4 linked regions of the Yarrowia lipolytica genome follow. The protein of the gene in region 1 interacts with the protein of each later gene in a pairwise test. Links are inferred from orthologs where the notes say so. Each region holds a gene or a part of one and is shown on either strand. Other genes may lie near its edges.

What was found.
Region 2: the proteins of YALI1_E11587g (region 1) and YALI1_C05386g interact in a protein complementation assay, tested with the Saccharomyces cerevisiae proteins (2 studies listed by BioGRID). The link is inferred for Yarrowia lipolytica from reciprocal best matches to the Saccharomyces cerevisiae genes PEX14 and PEX11.
Region 3: the proteins of YALI1_E11587g (region 1) and YALI1_C25979g interact in binary tests that used the Saccharomyces cerevisiae proteins (3 or more experiments, as listed by UniProt). The link is inferred for Yarrowia lipolytica from reciprocal best matches to the Saccharomyces cerevisiae genes PEX14 and PEX6.
Region 4: the proteins of YALI1_E11587g (region 1) and YALI1_E18242g interact in binary tests that used the Saccharomyces cerevisiae proteins (3 or more experiments, as listed by UniProt). The link is inferred for Yarrowia lipolytica from reciprocal best matches to the Saccharomyces cerevisiae genes PEX14 and FRQ1.

What each region holds. Positions count from the first base shown.
Region 1 is NC_090774.1:1,157,092-1,160,362, forward strand, and holds YALI1_E11587g (uncharacterized protein), read left to right. Parts: upstream 1-1,613; coding exon 1,614-2,756; downstream 2,757-3,271. UniProt on the Saccharomyces cerevisiae protein: Component of the PEX13-PEX14 docking complex, a translocon channel that specifically mediates the import of peroxisomal cargo proteins bound to PEX5 or PEX21 receptors.
Region 2 is NC_090772.1:537,374-540,264, forward strand, and holds YALI1_C05386g (uncharacterized protein), read right to left. Parts: upstream 1,230-2,891; coding exon 528-1,229; downstream 1-527. UniProt on the Saccharomyces cerevisiae protein: Involved in peroxisomal proliferation. Promotes peroxisome division and biogenesis.
Region 3 is NC_090772.1:2,594,328-2,599,603, reverse strand, and holds YALI1_C25979g (uncharacterized protein), read left to right. Parts: upstream 1-1,691; coding exon 1,692-4,766; downstream 4,767-5,276. Other genes in the region: YALI1_C25998g (uncharacterized protein), read left to right, coding at 1-67; YALI1_C25990g (uncharacterized protein), read left to right, coding at 363-463, 531-975. UniProt on the Saccharomyces cerevisiae protein: Component of the PEX1-PEX6 AAA ATPase complex, a protein dislocase complex that mediates the ATP-dependent extraction of the PEX5 receptor from peroxisomal membranes, an essential step for PEX5 recycling.
Region 4 is NC_090774.1:1,822,324-1,825,370, reverse strand, and holds YALI1_E18242g (uncharacterized protein), read right to left. Parts: upstream 1,104-3,047; coding exon 531-1,103; downstream 1-530. Other genes in the region: YALI1_E18258g (uncharacterized protein), read left to right, coding at 1-379; YALI1_E18212g (uncharacterized protein), read right to left, coding at 2,384-3,047.

The sequences.
Region 1 (3,271 bases):
TATATTATCCTTTGAAACTTCTTATCCCTGAACCTCAACCCCTTACCTCCATTTCTTTCACCTCACCCCCTGTTGAACCTCATATTGGTTTCTGGCATTCTTACCAACAATGATGGCGGATTGAAGTGTCTACTTGTAGTTAAGCAAGTCTAAATAATAAACCGACAATTGTATCTGATCTGCCCGAACCTCCTTGTGCTCTAAGCGCGATACTCATTAGTACAGCCCTGCGATGAGTCCAAACTAGCCTTGTGGTTGCCCACAAAGCACCTTTTTTGTCTCTAGTTTGCATTACCGGACACGAAGAAACCCTACCATGGGCTAAATACTGCTCTCTGTGGGCCCACAAGTACTGTCTAGCACTTCCACGGAGATGATCACAAATATGCAGGTGCTAGCGTCGTTCAGGTCATTTTTCAGCACTAGTGCCAAAATAAACCCCAGCGTTCCATCTCCGCCATCCAGAAGCGCACTAATTCAAGGGGAAGGAATACCAACAACAGTTAGTCAAGTGTTTATTTTTGTCCGAACAACGCTGAAGAAGTTGTCAAGGTTGTCTTCATGTGCAGCGGCGAGAGGAAAGAGGGTCCAACCAACTCTCTCGGTGACCTGACGAATACGAGGAGTTGATCACTGCATTCTTTAGGCCCCAAGGAATATATCAATGCAGTATATGTGACTGTAGACTCCCGTATTCGATAATTACCACGTTGGTATTGGTGGGTGGGTGTCTCGCCTGATTCATCAGAGAACAGTTTAGAAAGTGAAGAAATGAAGTGCTGTTAATGCATGTATTAACAAACGGAGTTGACCCGTGGACTCGCGGCAAAAAACTGAACAAGGACGACATGTTTTCCCCATAATACTTTGTTATCTACCCCAGTTAGCTGAATCCTACAAGTAGTAGACCCTAGGGTGGGTACACTGAGACAGTGGAGGGCAATGTTTTAATTCAAAAGTCGGAGGTTTTTTGAGACCCTCTTTTGTTCAGTTCATGTGACCCGTATTTTGAAGTTCCTGCTTAGCTCCTATTCCTCAGATTCTTGTGGTACACTCGAACCCATACGAGCACTTTATGCCATACATTGGGGGAGCTGCGCTTATGTAAGCATAGGAGTTTTATTTTCATTTTTATTTTCATTTTTATTTCATTTTTTGATAGTGGACGTTATTTGGCAAGTAGCACGCTATACTGGTGGCTACGTCCAATATCGACTCCTCCAGGTCCGGTTTTATCACGTGAATGTCACGTGAATGTCACGTGATTACTCATACCGGTACTGTACTGTACAGTACTGCACTCGTAGTGCATCTGAGCTGGACCGTTGGTTTTCAAGTTACCCTACTTTTTCCCCCACATGTGTTTTTCCGTTGTGATTTTGAGCCTCGGTAAATGGGGAACTTTGATTCCGGCGCTGGGAAATGGGGAGGTGCACTTATCTCGACTTTTCGGGCTCGGATTTGGAAAAGGACAACTGATTTGAATTCAGCAGATTTTTCTTAACATTGCGGTAGTTTCAAAAATCAAAAATACCCACTTTCCAAGTAATTCCACGTCTCATCTATCATCTTGGACCCTAACCCCGAAAACGCACCCCACATCAGCTCCTCTTATGATTCCCTCTTGTCTCTCTACACAACACATGGCACCTCGAGAAGATCTAGTGCAAAGTGCGGTGGCGTTCCTGAACGATCCTCAGGCAGCCACTGCCCCGCTCGCCAAGCGGATCGAGTTTCTGGAGTCCAAGGATATGACTCCTGAGGAGATTGAGGAGGCTCTCAAGCGGGCTGGATCGGGCTCGGCCCAAAGTCATCCTGGAAGTGTGGTGAGTCACGGGGGCGCTGCTCCAACCGTGCCTGCCTCCTATGCATTCCAATCGGCTCCTCCTCTTCCTGAACGGGATTGGAAGGATGTATTCATCATGGCCACCGTCACTGTTGGTGTTGGATTTGGCCTGTACACGGTGGCAAAGCGATACCTGATGCCTCTCATCCTGCCCCCCACCCCTCCGTCTCTCGAGGCCGACAAGGAGGCTCTGGAAGCGGAGTTTGCCCGTGTGCAGGGCCTGCTCGACCAGGTGCAGCAGGACACAGAGGAGGTCAAGAACAGCCAGGTAGAGGTGGCCAAGCGGGTCACAGACGCGCTCAAGGGCGTGGAGGAGACCATCGACCAGCTCAAATCGCAGACCAAGAAGCGTGACGACGAGATGAAGCTTGTGACCGCCGAGGTGGAGCGAATCAGAGACAGACTGCCCAAGAACATTGACAAGCTCAAGGATTCGCAGGAACAGGGTCTGGCCGACATTCAGAGCGAGCTCAAGTCGCTCAAGCAGCTGCTCAGCACCCGAACCGCAGCCAGCTCTGGACCCAAGCTGCCTCCCATTCCTCCTCCCTCCTCCTACCTCACTCGAAAGGCGTCTCCTGCCGTTCCAGCTGCTGCTCCCGCACCTGTGACTCCCGGCTCTCCCGTGCACAATGTGTCTTCAAGCAGCACCGTTCCTGCTGACCGAGACGACTTTATCCCCACTCCCGCAGGAGCTGTGCCTATGATTCCCCAGCCTGCTTCCATGTCCTCTTCGAGCACCTCTACCGTGCCCAACTCGGCCATTTCCAGCGCCCCCTCCCCCATCCAGGAGCCCGAGCCTTTTGTGCCCGAGCCCGGCAACAGCGCCGTGAAGAAGCCCGCCCCCAAGGCTAGCATTCCCGCCTGGCAGTTGGCTGCCTTGGAGAAGGAAAAGGAAAAGGAAAAGGAGTAAATGTTAGGATACAGTGATGATAGTGCAGAGATGACGTGATGAAATGCCGAAATCGAACAGTGAACGGTAGCTCACCTTCGAGTGTTCGGTTGGACCATGGATCAGACGGTGTTCATGGTGTACTAGGATGTATAAGGTGGATCTTTATGTTAGTGCAGGCATATAGAGGAATTTATTTAATGCTACTGTAGTGGTAAGACGTGATCAATTTTTTTTTAGCTATTCTGCACTACTCTACTAGGGGACATAGATGCTCGGGACATTTCTCCATTCTGACGACCATTATTGGTACCTAGACTGATATCGTGGAGCATCAAATCCGTTTTGGGCTGATTTGAACAAGTCGGTGCCGATATTGCCACGCCTGTGAATAGTATATAGAACTAGGCAGCTCTTCCTGTTTAGCCTGAATCCGAAGTCTGAGCGGCAAGATCAAGTCGAGAGACCATGTCACGATTCTGGAAAGAAATTCGCGTTCGGACTTCTCAGAGAAGTGATGCAAGATGGCTCAGATC
Region 2 (2,891 bases), on another chromosome or scaffold:
ACCAGTCAATTGATAGTGGTGGTTAGTCATTACTTGTACACTTGTGGTTGTGACAATGGTTGATTCAGTATCTACTCGTACATCCTTCGATTCCGTAGAGGGATATCAATGGGATTGAATGTGGAGTATGTGGTCATATGGTGATACTGAGACGTCAGAGAACATATAGCCATGCCATGCCTCTTAAACAGATCGTTTCCCACTTCACCTCTCTCTACCCACTCTTATGCTATTCAGTTTCTCCATGCACAATACAACTCACATCATACGCTGCTCTTATCGTACATCTGAGACATTGATTTATCTCCGAAGACGCGTTTTATGGATATGTATCAATTGTGTCGTACAGTGCTCGTACTGGTAACACCTTCTCAGGTCTACTGATTGGCATGCTGCTATCTGCACACATTGTTCATCTGCAGAACTACACGGAACGCTACAGACACACTTGGTTGCTACAACACAGTCAAAACTCATTATTCTTTGTGCTCTCCCTATTGAGCATACGTCTCTTGCGAGTTATCTATCTAAGCAGTAGCGGCCCAGGCCTTCTGGACACCCATAATACCGGTAGCGAAACCAGCCAGGCCGACGAGACCGTCATCGAGGTGCAGGTAGCCGAGAGAGGTGAGGGGGATGGAGAAATCGAGGAGATCCCAGACCAGCTGCTTCTGGGCAGCGGCAGCGTCCTTGTCGTTCTTCTTGGCGGAGGTGGTGTCCTTCTCCTTCTCTGCTGCCAGAGCAGCTCGCTTCTTCTTGCAGATGTTGATCTTGTGGATGGAGTTGAGAATGTTGCAGAAGATACCAAAGGCCCAGAAGTAGGAGCCGACCTTCTTGATGGTCTTGATGTTGTCAATCTTCTTGATGCCGGAGCCGTTGATGTAGATGATGGAGTCAAAGACCAGGTAGATGGCGTAGCCGAGGTTTCGGCCAATGGTTGTGTATCGCAGACAAGGGTCCAGGGTCTTGTTCTCGAACGACACGGCGGCGGTCTTGAGATGGCCAATGGGCTTTCCAACTCGGAACAGCTTTCGGGCCATGGAGAACTGGTTCTGGATCTTTCGGAAAATATCAATGGTGTCCTTGGTGTAGCCCTTTCGGAACAGGTAGTAGGTCAGGAACCGCGAGAAGTACTGGATGGACCGCAGGATCTTGTCTCGACCGACGTGGGTCTCAAGCAGCTTGACCACTCGGGTCACGGTGGGGTTCTGGGCGAGGCAAACGGACATCTTTTTTGTGTGTGTTGGCGTGAAGAAGGGGAGACTCTAGGGTTTTAAAAACGGTCTTCGTCACCACCGCAAATAAGCTCAGCTGGGGTAAGGTTGCCGAACTAAATGTACCGAGGCTAGTTTTCACGTGGAGAAGGTCCCACCATGTGTATATAAGGGGGGGACGGAGCGCTGTTTGCACGGTTGTAAAGCTGCGAACCAGTAGATTGCCACTCGGTGGTTGGATTGCTGGCTTCAGCCGTTTAATTCGGTTGCAGCAAACTTGTTTCACGTTCAGCCAATCCGCAGGCACGCAAATCGGGCAAAGCCGGAGAACGGTGTATATAGCAAAACACGACAATGTCCGAGCCGGTCTGCGTGGCATATATATGTTCGAGTACTTGTATATATATTATATTTGTTATTATGGCAACGGTTTCCAGTGCAGGGGTCGCAGGATTGAATACCCCGCCTTTAGTACTGCGATATTCGACGTTATTTTCACGACTCTTTGAGCACTTAAATTTCAGCACCCACTCCACTCCACGCCTACGCACTCAGCTTACTCCTTGACCAGGCCCATTGGACCATTCATACCTTGTGTGTGAGAGAGCATGGCAAGTGCGTGGGGTGCGTGCAGCTCCCCAATCAAAAATACCCCAAGTCCGAGAGTTTATACATTATGGGGAAGAGTATGGGGTGCAGATCAAGTCCGATAAATGGTGGGTTTTTCAGACCGTCTTTTTTTGGGATTATTTCTTCTCCGCGCGTGAGTTCGATTTCCGCAGATGATGTAATCGTGATTACAAGTTGGAACACTGTGTGGGGTGCCAAGCGGTGAGTGACAGGTGTTGCCACCAGGTTCGACACTGTACATTGACGACTGTTGCCGGGCTTGTAACAGTGGTCCGCACGTAAAGACGGTTCGACACGTGTGTCACCGGGTAGATATTATGGCTTGCCCCCGAACTGGACCAGATTGACTCTGGGCAACTATCTCGACAACGGTGGTCTACATCCGAGTGCCAGTACAATACCAGTAGTTGAAAGTATGACTATGTACAGTACATACAAGTACAAGAGCTTGTGCGATTGCGAATACTGACTAGACTGCCGGCTCAGTACTGGAACAGCAATGGATGAGACACAGAGATTGCCAATCTCCATAACTGCTAGACCTGCTAAACGGTATCCCTTAGACCAGATGCAGTCTTTGTATGTAGCGGTACGAGTACAAGTACAGTACATGCTGTACATCGAAAAGCATCAAGTGAGCGGGGTTCGGGATCAATCAGAATGGGTTGGCACTGAAGAGAGCATACCTGACCAACAAGGGTGGAGTACGAGTACAAGTGGTGGTACAGTATGTATGCAATACTTGAGGGCGGTCAGTAGGCATCGTACAATGTTACACGTGACCAAACCTGATCATTCCGGCAACACAAGTACTTGTATATAGGCAAGTCCGGGGGATTATACTGGCCATGAGTTTGAGAGCATGGATGGAGTGGAAGGTGGAGAATGCAGTGGCTTTGATAGTGACGCTTGATATAGTAGCACCCAACATGGTATATACTGTAGTGTACAAGTAGAGAGAGAGTCTTGTTTATTCAACGGAAATGCACTTACTATACGGCACTTACGAGTACAAGTAGCTAGATATTCCACAGCTAGATATTCCAC
Region 3 (5,276 bases), on another chromosome or scaffold:
ATCACCGTTCATGGCCAAGAAAATCAACGAGGCCAAGGATATGCTGGAAAAGGAGGTAAAAAAGTGAGCACGCGACAGAATCTTCATCGGTGGACAGCCAGCATCACCATAGACGTGTTGTCCACTTTTAATTGTATATATTTAACTATTTTATGACCTAGGAGTGCGGTCTATAGATGCGGTAAAGTGTCGACCAAAAGACACTGAGATAGGGCGTACGAGATGGGTTTTGGTATAAAAAGAGAAGGACTATGTCTCAGGAGTTGTCCTAGCTTTCAATTTTTTGTCCCCATTCTATTCAATTTCGTGTAAATCAAAACCACAAGGCCCCTCTAAATTGCCCTCTAACAGAACTACTGCACATGCATCTACTACAACTAAGTTGTTCATCATCAACTTTCATCTTTCAACACGATACACCACATAACATGTCCACGCGAGACACCTTTTACGGGTGGTATTTGTGAGTACAACACGGCGAACACACGGTCTACCGCAGACTATCTACGCTCCGCTCCCTGCTAACATAGTGCCATCCACTTTGTCATCACCCTGATGGTCGATGGAGGCTTTGCCATTCCTGCGGCGTACAAACTACCCGGGCAACAGTTCATGGAAGACTTCCACGTGGCATCCAACAAGGATTTCATTGTGCTCGAAAAACCAGCGTGGTTCATGTCCTTCATCTGGATCGAGATCCTCTTCCAGCTGCCCTTCTTTGTTTATGGAGCCTACAAGCTGCTAACCAAGACCGCCACTCCCACGACATACCTGTGGATGCTGGTGTACGGTGTCAATGCCAGCCTAACGACTCTGGCATGTCTCGCGGAGGTGTGGGCTCGAGCCGGTCTTACCGATGCCCTTCGATACAACCTGCTCGCTGTCTACGCCCCCTTTTTCTTCATTTCTGGCTACATTGTCATTGACGTATTCCAGCGGTTGCAGGGAGAGCTGAGAAAGGTCAAGACTGATTAAGCAACGAATTACTATAACCAAACCGCCAAACAAGTGATGCCACACGACTCACGCAGGAATGTACCGCATACTATGTACTGTGTACTGTTCTGGCAATACCCAATGGTTCAGCTTTCCAACATCCTCGACTAAGAAGGAACTACTGTATTGGAACTGTCACTGGTGCTGACGACTTGTGTGTTTATTGTCAATGAGATTGGACTCGGTTACTTACTCCTCCGGGCACTACAAGTACCGTACCTCAAGTCCTGTGTGTATATATTATCCGTATTATGATTTCAAAACCATTACATTGTAAAGTCTCTCTCAATTGACTGATTCATATAGAACTACCAGTAGAAGCATCTCCGAAGGTGTTGTTTTTTCTAGTACCGTATGTACAGTATTCATACTAGTTAGCTACAGTACATAACGCGCGCCCAGGCTAACATCATCACGGAACAACTTGTACTCATCATTCAGAGCCGAAATTTGAACAGAAACAAAAAGAATTGAATTTCCCATTATTCCAGTCACTACTGGGAATCTTCACCAACATAAAAAACACCCACCTTGACGTCTATCACGTGCTTCATTCATACCGTTATTCTGGCTCTTCCCCACACCCCACTTTTCACATTAACCTTGATGTCCGCCAAACTCTCTTTTCTGCACGCTCCCTTAACCTCGGCCGACAGATCATAGTCATTCTTCTCTACAACACCACCACATCGAGCATGCCGTCGATCAGCCACAAACCCATCACAGCCAAGCTGGTGGCTGCCCCGGATGCCACCAAGCTCGAGCTCTCGTCCTACCTGTACCAGCAGCTCTTTTCCGACAAGCCAGCCGAGCCATATGTTGCGTTCGAAGCTCCTGGAATCAAGTGGGCTCTGTATCCTGCTTCTGAGGACCGATCTCTGCCGCAGTACACTTGCAAGGCCGACATTCGCCACGTGGCAGGCAGTCTCAAAAAGTTCATGCCCGTGGTGCTCAAACGGGTCAACCCTGTCACGATTGAGCATGCCATCGTGACCGTGCCTGCCAGCCAGTACGAAACGCTTAACACACCCGAACAAGTGCTCAAGGCTCTCGAGCCGCAACTCGACAAGGACCGACCGGTAATCCGACAGGGCGACGTGCTGCTCAACGGATGCAGAGTGCGTCTGTGCGAGCCTGTAAACCAGGGCAAGGTGGTCAAGGGAACCACCAAGCTGACGGTCGCCAAAGAGCAGGAAACCATCCAACCGGCCGACGAAGCTGCCGACGTGGCCTTTGACATTGCAGAGTTTCTCGACTTTGACACATCTGTTGCCAAGACCCGTGAATCCACAAACCTCCAAGTGGCACCTCTTGAAGGAGCCATCCCTACTCCTCTCTCGGACCGGTTTGACGACTGCGAAAGCCGAGGCTTCGTCAAGTCTGAAACCATGTCGAAACTCGGAGTCTTTTCCGGCGACATTGTGTCCATCAAGACCAAAAACGGAGCCGAACGGGTGCTCCGACTGTTTGCATACCCCGAACCAAACACAGTCAAGTACGACGTGGTCTACGTCTCGCCCATTTTGTACCACAACATTGGCGACAAGGAGATTGAGGTGACTCCCAACGGTGAGACACATAAGTCTGTAGGAGAGGCGCTGGATTCCGTGCTTGAAGCTGCTGAGGAAGTCAAGCTGGCAAGAGTGCTTGGTCCTACTACCACAGACAGAACCTTCCAAACAGCCTACCACGCAGGTCTGCAGGCCTACTTTAAGCCCGTAAAGAGAGCCGTTCGAGTAGGTGATCTGATCCCCATTCCCTTTGACTCTATTCTCGCTCGAACTATTGGCGAAGATCCTGAAATGAGCCACATTCCTCTGGAAGCTCTGGCAGTCAAGCCCGACTCCGTGGCGTGGTTTCAGGTCACTTCTCTCAACGGAAGTGAAGACCCTGCCTCCAAACAGTACCTTGTGGACTCCTCTCAGACAAAGTTGATCGAGGGAGGAACTACTTCTTCTGCTGTAATCCCCACCAGTGTTCCATGGCGCGAATATCTCGGTCTGGATACCTTGCCCAAGTTTGGATCCGAGTTTGCATACGCCGACAAGATCCGCAACCTGGTTCAGATCTCGACCTCGGCTCTCTCGCACGCCAAACTCAACACCTCGGTACTTTTGCATTCCGCCAAGCGAGGCGTCGGAAAGTCAACTGTTCTTCGTTCCGTGGCTGCCCAGTGCGGAATTTCTGTGTTCGAAATCTCGTGTTTTGGACTTATTGGAGACAATGAGGCCCAGACACTGGGAACTCTGCGAGCCAAGCTAGACCGGGCCTATGGCTGCTCTCCTTGCGTGGTCGTTCTGCAGCATCTCGAGTCGATTGCAAAGAAGAGCGACCAGGACGGAAAGGATGAGGGAATAGTTTCAAAGCTTGTGGACGTTCTTGCGGACTACTCCGGACACGGAGTGCTGCTGGCAGCTACGTCTAACGATCCCGACAAGATTTCCGAGGCCATTCGATCTCGATTTCAGTTTGAAATTGAGATCGGAGTGCCCTCTGAGCCCCAAAGACGTCAGATCTTTTCTCATCTGACGAAATCCGGTCCTGGGGGCGATTCAATCAGAAATGCACCCATTTCTCTGCGTTCTGATGTCTCTGTTGAGAACCTTGCGCTCCAATCTGCCGGTCTGACCCCTCCTGATCTCACAGCCATTGTCCAGACTACCCGTCTGAGAGCCATTGATCGACTTAACAAGCTCACCAAGGACTCCGATACCACTCTAGACGATCTCCTGACCCTTTCGCATGGTACTCTCCAGCTGACTCCCTCCGACTTTGATGACGCTATTGCTGATGCTCGACAAAAGTACTCCGACTCCATTGGAGCTCCCCGAATCCCCAATGTCGGATGGGACGATGTTGGAGGCATGGAGGGTGTCAAGAAGGATATTCTGGACACTATCGAGACTCCTCTAAAGTACCCCCACTGGTTCTCTGACGGTGTAAAGAAGCGATCGGGTATTCTGTTTTACGGTCCTCCCGGTACTGGTAAGACTCTTCTCGCGAAAGCCATTGCCACGACTTTCTCGCTCAACTTCTTCTCCGTCAAGGGTCCCGAGCTGCTCAACATGTACATTGGTGAATCCGAGGCCAACGTGCGACGAGTATTCCAAAAGGCCCGAGATGCCAAGCCCTGTGTTGTCTTCTTTGACGAGTTGGATTCCGTGGCGCCTCAGAGAGGCAACCAGGGAGACTCTGGAGGAGTCATGGACCGAATTGTGTCGCAGCTGCTAGCTGAGCTCGATGGAATGTCTACTGCGGGAGGAGAGGGTGTTTTCGTTGTGGGAGCTACTAACCGTCCTGATCTGTTGGACGAGGCTCTTCTGCGACCTGGACGATTCGATAAGATGCTGTACTTGGGTATCTCTGATACCCACGAGAAGCAGCAGACTATTATGGAGGCTCTTACTCGAAAGTTCCGACTTGCTGCCGATGTGTCTCTTGAGGCCATCTCCAAACGATGTCCGTTTACTTTCACCGGCGCCGATTTCTACGCTCTGTGTTCAGATGCCATGCTAAATGCCATGACTCGAACTGCCAACGAGGTTGATGCCAAGATCAAGCTGCTCAACAAGAACAGGGAGGAGGCCGGAGAGGAGCCCGTCTCCATCAGATGGTGGTTTGACCACGAGGCTACCAAGAGTGACATTGAGGTTGAGGTTGCTCAGCAGGATTTTGAGAAGGCCAAGGACGAGCTGAGTCCATCTGTTTCGGCGGAGGAGCTGCAACACTATCTCAAGCTGAGACAGCAATTTGAGGGAGGCAAGAAATGAACAGACGAGGGATGATGGGTGGATTTGTATAAATATATTACGTGATAATTATGACATTGCTCAAATACTGGAGTAGGAAGACCACCAAAACTTGATTATTTACACCGATAAGAGAAATTATATTCTCACAGTACAATCTGCTTGGCTCACGCAACTACTCGTACTGGTTTTTATGTTTTTTTATGTTTTTTATATTAATTTTTTTTTAACTTTTTATAAATATTTGGATTATAGGAAAAATGTCTCGTTCCTTAGTGCATCTGAGATGCCCCAAAATTACAGTAATCGGACTGCAAAAGTGGGGGCGACTGCATGACGGAGATAGGAGTGATGATATTGAGCAGTGAACTGTACTCGTGCTTGTGCTGTCGTGTTGAAATTGGGGATGAAGAAAAAACCACCGGACAAAATCTTTCCAATCACGACCAAAATATAATCGACACCTTTCTACCGACTTTTCTATCAACGGTCTCCATCTACAAGTAGTGGATCATCGAGGGTGGCGAATCT
Region 4 (3,047 bases), about 670 kb from region 1:
CGACGAAAAGAATCCTGTCACCGTCGTGTACGCCCCCTCATGCCTCCGAGCTACAAACAAGGAGAAACGTGGCCGCCTAGCAGCCTCCAAGAAGAAGCAGGCTATTGGTATTGCCAGATTTGGCTCTGAGGATGAGTGCAACGAGAAGACAAATAACTGCTCAGGCCATGGTGCTTGCTCCAAGGGCCGTGGCGAGTCTGCCTACACATGCAAGTGCAAGACTGGCCGAGGAGGAAAGTTGTGCCAGAAGCAGGACGTGAGCGTCCAGTTCCAGCTTTTCTTCTGGACTGCAGTTGTCGCTCTGATTACCATTACTCTCGGTATCAAGCTCATGATGAGCGTTGGTAGCGAGCCTCTGCCTGGCGTTTTGGGTAAATAGAGCATACTGTAGCTAACTATCCGTGTGTGACCTACAAAGAGATAACAGTATTAAAAGGAACCATGCTTCCTATAACATTTAATAAGCTGAATGAAACAAAATATGAAGGTATATTGGATACATAGGTTGTGGACGACAATCAAGGACCTCGTTAGACAAGTCCGTCATATAAATTAAGAGCACTGACGATGGTGGGATCAACCTTGGATCCCTCTCGGAATTCTTCCAGAGTCAGCTCACCATTTCGATCCTTGTCCATTTGACGGAAAATCTTGTCCACTCGCTTCTCGGGTGTACTTTCATCCTCAGGTAGTTTGACCATTGAGCCAACCATCTTGTAGATGGCCGTGACAATGGCAAGCATTTCATCGTAGCTGATCTTACCATCGCCGTTGATGTCGTACAACTGGAAGGCCCATTCTAGCTTCTCCTCAAGGGTTCCACGCGAGGTTACACTGATCGCACAGATGAATTCCTTGTAATCCACCGTTCCGCTCTTGTCTTTGTCAAAAACGTTGAAGACGTATTCACTGAACATGGAAGGGTCGCCGAATGGGAAGAATTGTCGATAGATCTTTTGGAACTCTTCCTTGTTCAGCTGGCCAGACGGGCAATCCTTGAGAAAGCCCTTGTACCATTGCTGCAGTTCCTTTCGGTCGAAGTAGGTTGCTTTCTTGAGCTCAGTGAGCTCGTCCTTAGACAGTTTCGATGCTGCTTTTCCCATGGTGAAACCGTGTCTTTTATAGCAATGCGATTATGCTAGTTTTGTCGAATTTGCCCTTAATTTGTGTCGTCAACGGATCCTGGTTGTGGCGGTCAACGTGTGGTTAGCAGCTGTAAAGTCTGGGTTGTGAGTGTCGGGTGTCTTGCGCAGCTGCTCACGCACCCTTCTGGTGATCAAAGTTGTATCTGCTTAGAACCCCCCCGGACTGGCATGGTTTAACACTGCAGATGTGTGCACACTGTAGGCTTATAAGTGGTGAAACCACGAAGGGATACCGCATCTTTGCGCAATTATATTAGATCACAGAAAACAAAACCCGACTTGGTAGAGGCAACCGCCAGCTTCAGCATCACCGCCATCTTTCTATCATACCACTAATGATGTTGAGGTGACCAATTCAAGTGCCGTGTGGAGGCGCAGTTCCAACTTTAATCTGAACGGACGGATCATTATTGTTTTTCGAGATTCTACGACGGTTGAATATTTTGACGATCATCTAAGTTCCGAGCTTGGTGTTTGGTATTTTGGTATATTATTTCACAAACTTCTATTGACATTACAGTGTCGGAAAGCGCATCTTTTGTACTACCGATATCCAGTAGCTACAAGAACAGTACACTCGAATTTGTCTCATGGTTCTTGGCATACCTCATGCGCAGATACAAGTACCCTTGGCATCCTCAATGTTGACAACTTACACATATAATTTTTCAGTTGTCAGTAACTATGATACCGGTATCGGCATAGATTTGTACGCTAATAGATATCATTATTTTTTTAAATATGTATTGAAGGGATGTTGTGTGTGCTGTGAGGTCACGAAAATCGTAGAGTCATTAGAGTCATTAGAGTCATTAATATCATAAGGGTCATAGGACTTTATAAACAGTGTCGTAATAGCAAGGTCGTGATGATCGTGGGGATCATGGATAAAGCGGGTCATAAAGTCATAAAGTCATCAGAAGGGTCATAAAGGTCATAAAGGTCATAAAGGTCATAAAGGTTATAGATGTCATAAAGGTCGTAAGGGTCATAAGGTCGGAAAAGTCGTAAGTCGTAAAGGTCGTAAAGGTCGTAAAGGTCGTGAGCGTCGTAAAGGTCATAAAGGTCATAAGCGTCATAAGGTCGGAAAAGTCGTAAGTCGTAAAGGTCGTAAAGGTCGTAAAGGTCGTGAAAGTCGTGAAAGTCGTGAAAGTCGTGAAAGTCGTGAAAGTCGTGAAAGTCGTGAAAGTCGTGAAAGTCGTAAAAGTCATCATGATTCGTGATGGTCGTGAGAATTACTATGAGGTATTCTCAAGCCCCAGGAGTTTGTCGATAAACCACTCTCGAAGTCCGTCTCTAACAATAGGTAACCGGGAAGGATCTCTTACGTCAAAAACATGCGATCCAATACCCACGTAGCGAGTGGATGGGATGGCGGGTAGTATCTCTCGGATGACGCGGCTGTAATCATCAGGGTGGTGGCCATCTTCGAATCCAGGTATGGCAACAGCTCCCCCACCAACTAGGGAACATGCTCGCGGAGGGGGTCCACAGTTTAGGAGATCAAGATACTTGACATTAAGGTACTTTAAGAGATCCTGTAACGTTTCGCCATTTCCATAGTTCGAGTAGGATCGATTGTAACTGTGGTCAGTGTCGAGGAGGGGATATGAAATACCAAGACCTTCCAAGTGAGGTGAGAGGTTGGCAACGATGTAACTGAGGCACACGTATGGGATCATAAGTGTGCCTCTGTCATCCTCCTTGCACTCAAGGTGTAAATGCCGAAGCTGCGAGTTGCTCAGAGCGCCAGCCATCTCACCGCAGTACATGGGCCAGAATTGCCTATGATGAGTCACCGAAGAGTTCCAGTGGATTATCAAATCGAGAGAGAGAGCGTTGACATGAGCTAGAAATGTAGCCACGCCAGAAATGCAGCCATCATTGCGCGTTCCGCCAGAC